Linked DNA regions of Cricetulus griseus. The protein of the gene in region 1 purifies or fractionates together with the protein of each later gene. This does not show direct contact. Links are inferred from orthologs where the notes say so. Each region holds a gene or a part of one and is shown in the gene's direction. Other genes may lie near its edges.

Region 1 (4,298 bases):
GAAATCTGCTCCTTGCACATGTAAGAGGAGCAGTCCTCATTGGCTGGAATCTGACATTTAGGAGACTGAATAGAGGTCTTGGGTAGGCTGTCTCTGGGATGAACCTGCCGAGGGAGAGGCTGAGTCAGAATCAAACCTTACTCGAGGAGTTTTAATACCCAGGGGGAAAAAAGTTTAAAGAAGGCCTATTTCAACTTAATTCCCAGGCCCTGGCTCTGGTCACTACACATTTATTCCACAAATACAGAAGCGTGTGCATAGAGTACTAACTTGGCGCCACAGGTCTTAAAACAAGCAAGGTGCGCAACTGGAAGCGCTACCTCCCAAAGCGCCGCCAGATGGCTTTGGAGCTCTAGGCGAGGGATTGATGCCCAGACGTATGAGAACACAGTCCGCACCTCTGGTCTCACAGTGCTCTCAATCTTCCCTTCCACCACCACCAGGCCTGTATCAAAAGGCATCTCCCCGCCCGCGACAGAGCACCACGTGCCGCGCTTCCACCCAGCTCTAGAGCCTCGGGCCCAGCATCCACATCTGGAAAGCAAGAGAGATTTCCCTGGGGTTCGGGTGGGGATGATGTGGGCTGGTTTATTAAAGATGACATCCACAGAGCAAGATCCGTTCTAGAGACTAGGCAAATACCTCTCTCCTCACAATTACATTCTTCATCCTTTAAGTACCTCGCAGAAAGGATCACATTTGGAAAGGGGTGGAGAGATGCCTAAGCTCCCCAGTTGGTACATTCTGGCGTGGCTTGTGCCTGGTGTCAGTTTCCTCATCTGTAAACTGGGAAGGAAGCCCATGCCCAGGGGCCTAGGACTATGGCGAGGTAGAGGATGGTGGTGTCAGGAGACAGGCGCCTCCGCAGGGTGGGGAGCATCTTGTCTTGGTACCCGGAGACCCCCCCCCCCGCCCCCCTCAGCTCCTGGGAAACTCCGCGGCGCAGCTCGGCGCGCAGGGGTGGGGCCCGTGGAGGCGGAGACGCCCGCCTAGCGTCAGCGAACCAGCGCCCGTCTCTCAATGGCCAATGACGAAGCGCCTTACAGCCCAGGCCGCGTCGGGAGTGAGGCAGCGGTGAGTGAGGCGCTGACAGGGACTTGCGGGGGCATCTAGCACAGACCCCCCTGGACCACGCCGCCATCGCAGCCTCCCGCCCAGACCTCTCTCTGCCGCTTCTCCTCGCCATGGAGGCGAGGGCGCCGCCGCCGCCGCCGCGGGGCTTCGAGCAGCGGACCGGGCGGCGGCCCTGAGGGGAGCGGCGGGCCGAGTCGCCGCCACCGCGGTGCTGAGGCGGAGCTGCTGTGCGCGTCCCCCGCGGTCCCGCCCAGCGCCGGGCTCGGTAAGCATTCGCGCCTGCCGCCGTCGGGTGGGCTTGGGAAGGTGGGATGGCCCGGCCGCGCGTGGGAGCCGTCCCTGGATCCTTTCCCGGAGCAGCGCCTCCGGCTTGTGCATCCTGGCACGGTGGACAGGGGGAGGGGGTCCCGGAAACGTGCGGGACACGGACAGGCTGGAACTTTGCGGACGTCCTCCTGGGGCCCGGGCCAGGGCGCTGCCATAGTTCATTCTGAAAGAAAAAAAAAAACTTTGAGCAGCGAGAACGGTATTTGCTCAGGTCCATTTAGTGGGAGGAGAAAGGTGGCTCACGCAGTGATCATTTCTACTCTCTCTTGAAACCCTTCCCTGCTCCTCCTCCCAAGCCCCTCGCTGCCGCCCGATCCCAACTGTTGTGTATGCTTCAGAAGGAAAATATGGACTCAGAGCTGCCCAGAATTCAAAACGAGCCTCTTGGGAACGCATATCTCTTCTGTTTACTTTCAGTAAATCTTAAAAATTGCCGCTTGGGGTAGGGGGCTAACTCCTAATTGTATTTCCTGAAATTAAAAACTACAAAGGCAGAGCTGATCCTGATAGATTCGGGGTTTTGGCGTTGTCAGTGATGATATTTGTAAGACAGGAAAGACAAAAAAGGAATGCTCCAAACCCTCTTAGAGTAATGCCGGCCGAAGCCCTTGGCCAGGAGAGGGAATCCCTTTTGAAAACCAGTCTCATGCCCCCGGATATGGCATCACTTGTTACCTGCTAACTATTGAAGCAGCCAGAGAGCCAAAAGATGGTGGATGAGGATTAACTAGGACAGCTTGGATACTGCTTTCAAAAACATAGATGTGATGCTGTCATTTTCCTTCCCCCATGAGATGAATGGAACCCTAAACGCATTATCATTTTCTACAAGGCTCTTGACAATCTCGCCTGAACTTGATCTTTTATGGTTACCTCGATCCTTGCATTCTCCTTGCTTTCCACCCAGTGTTTAGCCATTCAGAGCTGCTTGCCTGATCCTTCATACTTGGGGAGGTTTTTGCTTTCTGGGTTCCCCTTTCCTCCCACCTTTTCTTGCCATGTTCCAGGTGTTCCTTTAGAGTTCTTTTCATTCGAGAAACTTCTTGAGGACAGGGGCTGTGTCTTCTTCAGGTTTTCCCTGTTAGAATTCTTCCTAGTTATCTTGTAGATTCTTAACTACTTGCCAAGAGGAATGTTTCCTAGTGTTTCCTGAAGGCCTGTTTGGAGTGTGGGTTAGGATCTTCATACTCACTGTCTCTCCATGTCTGTGGCACCCAGCACCCAGAAGTAGTCATCATGGAGAGACTGGTAGGCTTTATATCCTACTTGCTTCTAATCTGCCCTTGAAAGGCCAAAAACTCCTTAGTTACTTTTTACCCCTCTCTGCCCCAAGTGGCCCGAGTTTACTCTGAGGCATGCTTGGATCCAGGAGACTATTCACTGGGTACCTTTTAGCCACTGATTTAGTATGTGGGTGAACACAGAACCAGAAAAGCAAACCCCTTGATTTAGTACATTCATATGTCACCTATTTGCCAGGCAAAGTGCTTGGGATTCAAAATGAAAGTGAGAAAGTCATATTCTTATCTTTGAGAAGATTATAGACCAATGCAGGGCAGGTAGATGGATATAAACAGTTACATCATAGGTGCTATTAGAGCAATAATAATTGCTGTTTTCTATTTGCCTGTGACAGGCTATATAATAAATGCCTTACATGAATTATCTCGCTTAATCTTTTCAATAATTATAAGGGCTCATCAGGACTAGAAATGAGTAGACAGATGAGGAAACAGAATTTGAATTCTGACAATCTCTTTCCAGAGCCTCTGCCTGGGTAGTCTGGGAAGGCTTTCCTGGGAGAAGGTCTTCAAATCCTAAAGGAGACATCCTATAATTTGTATATTATAGACTGCACATATAGGAGAGGGGAGGGAACACAAGCCATCTTGGAGGAACTGGGAAGACGTATAGGTGGACTGGAGGTGAGCTTAGGATCAGAGTGAAGACTTATTTTGTTGTGTTAGGGTTTTGACAATGTTAGAGGCACCAAGAGTCAGGGACTTGGGGAAGTCATTTGGGGGCAATAATGCCCCCAATTGTTACCTGTGCAGTTTAGGAGGTAGTGGCCCGGACCCCCAGAAGTAGAATCACATTCTTTTATACCCAGAGCATGATTATTTCTCTTGAGATAGATTCTTACTCAGTTTGGGGAAAGATAATTAAAGCATTGGAGAGGGAAATTCTAGCATTCAAAAGGGTATGTAGAGGAAGAAAATCTTCCTGTCCTCTTATCTGCTAACTCCTTCCCAAGGATGGCTGAAATGCTGAGCATCTGTGGCTTTCCATAAACCCTACTCCTTTATAAACATGCATCTGCTCCTCTCTCTGTGGCCATACCAGTCACACCTCACTTTTTCTAAATTAGATGTTTAGGAACCCATCCCATATTAACAGAAACTTTTGCTTACTCTTTGAATTGACATTTCTTTTTTAAAAAGTTAGTTAGAAAATGTGTGTGTATGGTTGTTTTACCTGCATAAATGTCTGTGTACAGCTTGCGGACCAAGTACCCTTGCGGGCCAGAAAGGTTGTTGGAGCCCATGGAACCAGAACTATAGACCACTGTGAACTGCCATATGGGTGCAGAGAATTGAACTCAGGTCTTCTTGAAGAACAACCAGTATTCACATTTCTTACTTTGTTATACAGCTGTATAATAAGCTGTTTTGTCTGTACATAGGACTATTATTTGTATTTGTAACTAGTCTTTATGTCAAACATTTATTTCTATGTTTTTCTCTTACAGTAATACAATGAACATCCTTCTGGATATTTAGCTATATGTTTGTATGTACAATTATCTGAACGATGTATTTTAAGAAATGGAACTATCGGATCAAAAGACCTTTGTGTATTTTTTTTTTATTTGTAGACATACCAACAAATTGCCACCT
Region 2 (4,302 bases), about 26 Mb from region 1:
TTTTGGTGTACTGAGCTCAGAAAAATGGCGTGTTCTTGGTCATTTATATATTTGCAAAGAGGTAGAGTTGAGGCCTCAACCCAAGCCCATGGGTCCAAAGTTTGTACTTTGAAGCTTTCCATCGTCTTAGGTTTGGAAACGCCCAATGTCCAGATCTTTCTGTTGAACTTCCAGCAATGGATGTAGTGATACGCTGGCAAATATTTAACAAGCAACTCTCTGGAAGAAAAAGCTAAGGTATGGTTTGTCAAATTTCTCCATTTCCAAGTAGAACATACTTCCTTGGAGGCCGATGCCAGGTGACCAGTCTGACATCACTGAATATGGCCCTGAGAAGGAGGACAGCGGTCCTAAGTGTTTGCAAGCCTCTGAGAACCAGCTCCAGCACCTTACAGGAAGAGTAGCCACCCTTCCCCCAGCCCAGTGTGGCCAGTGAAGGCCATTAGACAAGTCTTTGGCGGGGAAGAGGGCGGAGAAACCTGCTCCTCCAGCCAGGGCCTGCCCAAGGGAGTCCTGGGAAACTGCCGTTAAACTTTAAGCAAGTCTTGCAAACAGGAGTGGCTACTTTGCCTGCTGTTCATGAGGATCCTGAGCAGCCCCGTTCTCTCTTCTGGCTCAGTGGGCTACCCTGGCCACACTTGCACTCAGCAGTGCGGCCTTCAGATCCCAGTCCTGTCCACTCCTACCTACTTCACAACGGGAGGAGGCTGGAACAGGAAACTGATGACTGAACAAACCCTGAGGCACCTGGCCTAGATGTGAACTTAGATCAGCCTGACTCAAAGCTTTGCTCCTTCCTGGCCTGCTGGGACATACATTGTACCCTGAGGCTGGAGCCTCTTATGTTCTGGGAGGATGGGAACCTGCCCTTCAGGAGGGGTCTCCACCAGGAGAAAGCTCAGGCCTGGTGCCACATTAACCTGGTTGGGTCTCAGTTGGCCACCTGTGAGATGGGAGCACTTTCAAGGAAGGAGGATGGAGGCAGATGGTCGGATTCATCTTTCTAGAGGGGAACGGAGGAGTCAGAGGTGGACCCCCTCCCTGGCCCAAGGGGCAGCCCTAGAACCTGGACAGGGACTGGCGTTTGTGAGGGGTGGTCTTTGAGACCAACCTGAAACCACATCCCGCCCCCTTATCCCATTTTCCTTCTCTACTTCCTGTTTGGCTGATCCTGCTGTCCTCAGTGGCTGACTACCTGCATACTTCCCAGCAGATGTACGTGGTCTCTGCATGCGCTGAAAATGAATTTAGGGCTGGCCTGATGCTTGCAGTCCCTGCCCTCCATAGGCAGAAGCTGGAGCCTCCCACAAGTTCAAGGCCAGCCTGTGTCACATAGTGAGCCACTGTTTCGCCTCTTGATACATTTTAATAAAGCTGCCTCTCTCCTCCTCACTCTGCCCCTCTGGTCCCAGTCTCTGGTTAAAGACAATCAGGTCAAAGCTGGTGTGGCCAGTTGCCTCAGTTTCCGTGTCTGGAAGATAGTGCTAGCCATCGGTGCGTAGCTCAGGTAGCTAGGTTGGTCCGGGGCGAGAGGGCGCCCCCGCGGGTGGAGCTGCGGGGAGGGGGCTGGGTGCGGGAGGCGCGGGGCCCGGCTCGCACAGCAGGTCCCCCGGGTCGCCGGCGGGGCCCGGGTCCGCGCTTCCTTCTTTCTCCGGCTCGCATCGGCCGCGGCCCCTCCTCCCGCGCGCTCCCTCCCCCTCGCCGCTGCCGCCGCCGCCGCCGCCTCCTCCCTTTCTCTAGGTCTGTCTCTCCCGGCCCGGAATCCACCCGGCCGCCCCGCCGGAGCGGCCAGGCCGCCGCCCGCCAGCGCTGCGCGCCCCGCTGGGGTCCGCCCGGGCGCGTCCGGAGCCCGCGGCCGCGCCGCAGGTGAGCGCCCCCGCCCCGCCAGCCCCGCGCCCCGCTGCGGGCTCCCGCCCTGCCCACTCCCCGCCGCGGCCCGCGACCTGCCCGGCGCGGCCTTTTGTTGGGATGCGCGGGGGAGGCCGGGCGGGGCGCGGGGGGCACCGGCGCGTGGGGACCCTCGGCCGCAGAGTCCCCAGCCCGGCTAGGCCACATCTGAAAACCCGGCCGATCGGCGCCGCCCGCGATCGCGGCTGCGGGGCCCTGCGCCCCCGGCCCGGAGTGGGGGTTGGGGGTGGGGTGGGCGCTGGGGACTGGGCTCCCTGGTGGCCACGCGACCTCCTTGGGTCTCCGGGCCTCGGTTAGGGCCTGGTGCTGTTGGCCTGGCGGAGACTGGGCCACTCTGTCCTCCCCTCACCCCCGCCAGCCCCCAGCCTCGCCCCTCCTCGGGCCCAGCGACCTGCCGGCTCCGAAGTTGGCAAAAGTTTTGGTGTTTCAGTACCACTACTAGGTCCACTTGCCCACCCGGGCAGGTACTGGAGGTGAGTTTGTGTCCCCACTAGAACCACCACTTGTCATGCTGTGTGTCTTGGAGACAACTGCCTTAGCTCTCTGAGCCAAGGCCCTTCTCAGTGATGGGTAGACGGCCAGGACTGCTAGGCTGGTTGAAGAGTGGAGTGGACAGAGGGGACTTTTCCCTGGGTAACCCCTAAACCTCTAAGGTATTCAGAGGGAGAAAAGTGGACAGAGACGTGTGAGGCTTATGAGGCCCTAAACAAGGTCTTCCCTGACTCACAAACTGTGTGAGCAATGGTGATGGGTTCACCTGGGTGGAAGTCAGATTCAGTTTCCAAGGTGGGCATGGGGGCGGGGCGCGTGCGGGGGTGGGGCGGGGCGGGCGGGGATGGGGCTCTTTCCAGACTTTTGAGTCCAAGCATCAAAGTCTCTTGTTTTCCTGGGTGATCTGAGCTGGGGGCTGCTCCTTGGATCCTTCACAGCAGTGACAGGGTCCTCAGGTGATTACTCCCTGTGCTTCTGGCAGCTAAGGAGTTGGCATGCATGGGGTGGGGTGTCAATAAATGAGTTCCACCCTGGAGCCTGCACAAGATGACTGGGGTGCTTGTGGCACAGCTGCCTGCAGGAGAGGGTAACTGTGTCTCGAAGGGTGCCCTAGAGCCTCAATATCCGAGCACCCTCCTGTGGCCCACAGCTGTGTGAATATAGTCAGCTCTGGGTTCCTTTTGCCTCAGTCTTGTCAGAAAGGAATGATCAATCAGATTGTGAAGGCACTCAGTGGTAGAGCACAGGCTTCGCATGCCCAAGGCCCTGGTGCTAGCCTTGGCACTACAGGACGGACAGATAAATCAGGTGGAGCCATGATGATCAGAGCTGTTGAGGTTCACTGAACTCCTCCTGGGGCTAGCTCAGTCTGCAGCTGGAACTGGAACTTAGACTTCAGAGGAGCTGGCTGGCTGCCCTTTAACCTGCAGTGACAGTGAAGGCTGTATAGTTTGGGGTCAGGAACAAGGCATTGTTGGAAAAAGACTCCTCCCATATCACCCCCACCTGGCAGAGCCATAAGGCCCTGCTGGAGATGGGGTGTGTCCCGGTGAGGTGGCCTTTCCACAAGGGGAAGTGACTTATAGTGTGTCACCTCTCAGCTGACTGCTTGTATCCTGGGGTACACACTGAGAATGAGTGTTAGGGGCACGCCCCATCTCATGTTCATCCTTGTTCTTCCAGCCTTAGGGCAACCCTATCTCTCCCACCCAATCCTCTTCTGTTTCCTGTCGTGTCCCTTTCCCCAGCCCCCCACCAGCCTCCAGCTTATAGGCTGCCTCCTGCTTGGGCTTTTACCCCATTCTCATCTGACAGTAGGGGTGGGAATGGAGCATGTCTGGGTCCTCTAAGTCCCAGGATCTAAGGAGGACTGGCTAAATGGTTTTTGTCCCTGTTATCCACCTGGTCCTCGGCTGTCTTTGATCGTACATTGAGCACTTACTATGCACTAGGGCCTGTGAACTTTGTTGAGCAGCTTTGTGGTAGGAGGACGACAGCTTCCTGAAGGAGGAGCTTGAGCTGGAGCAAGCAGTGGCCAGCTAGCCAAGAGTGCAGCTGGACCAGTGTTCTTCCCCTCTGCTCAGAAGGTCATCTGCCTGGGGACTTGCTGGGAAATTGTGAACAGGTCCTTGGCTTCTAGAAACTGGAGTAAGGCGGATAAGCCAAGTGGCCAGATAAATGAATATATAATCATGGCTGTGATAAGGGCAAGGCCTAGGGAACAGAGGAATCTTGCAGGAAGAGTGTAGGAGGGTTACCTGGGCATGAAGCTAGGGGAAGGTACGCCAGGCAGAGGGAGAGGTCTGTGCAAAGGCCTGAGGTGGGGGAGAGCATGGCTGTTGTGGAGGAACAAGGGGAGAGCCATGAGAGAGGATGGTCAAACAGGGCCTGCTATCAGTTGGG

The links.
Region 2: the proteins of Ptpra (region 1) and Src purify together in Homo sapiens (co-immunoprecipitation; 4 studies listed by BioGRID and IntAct, with this or other methods). This does not show direct contact. The link is inferred for Cricetulus griseus from reciprocal best matches to the Homo sapiens genes PTPRA and SRC.

The regions. Positions count from the first base shown.
Region 1 is NC_048599.1:48,155,427-48,159,724, reverse strand, and holds the start of Ptpra (receptor-type tyrosine-protein phosphatase alpha), read left to right. Parts: upstream 1-1,216; 5' UTR 1,217-1,339; intron 1,340-4,298. UniProt on the Homo sapiens protein: Tyrosine protein phosphatase which is involved in integrin-mediated focal adhesion formation.
Region 2 is NC_048599.1:22,117,429-22,121,730, reverse strand, and holds the start of Src (proto-oncogene tyrosine-protein kinase Src), read left to right. Parts: upstream 1-1,260; 5' UTR 1,261-1,494; intron 1,495-2,251; exon of another isoform or gene 2,252-2,381; intron 2,382-4,302. UniProt on the Homo sapiens protein: Non-receptor protein tyrosine kinase which is activated following engagement of many different classes of cellular receptors including immune response receptors, integrins and other adhesion receptors, receptor protein tyrosine kinases, G protein-coupled receptors as well as cytokine receptors.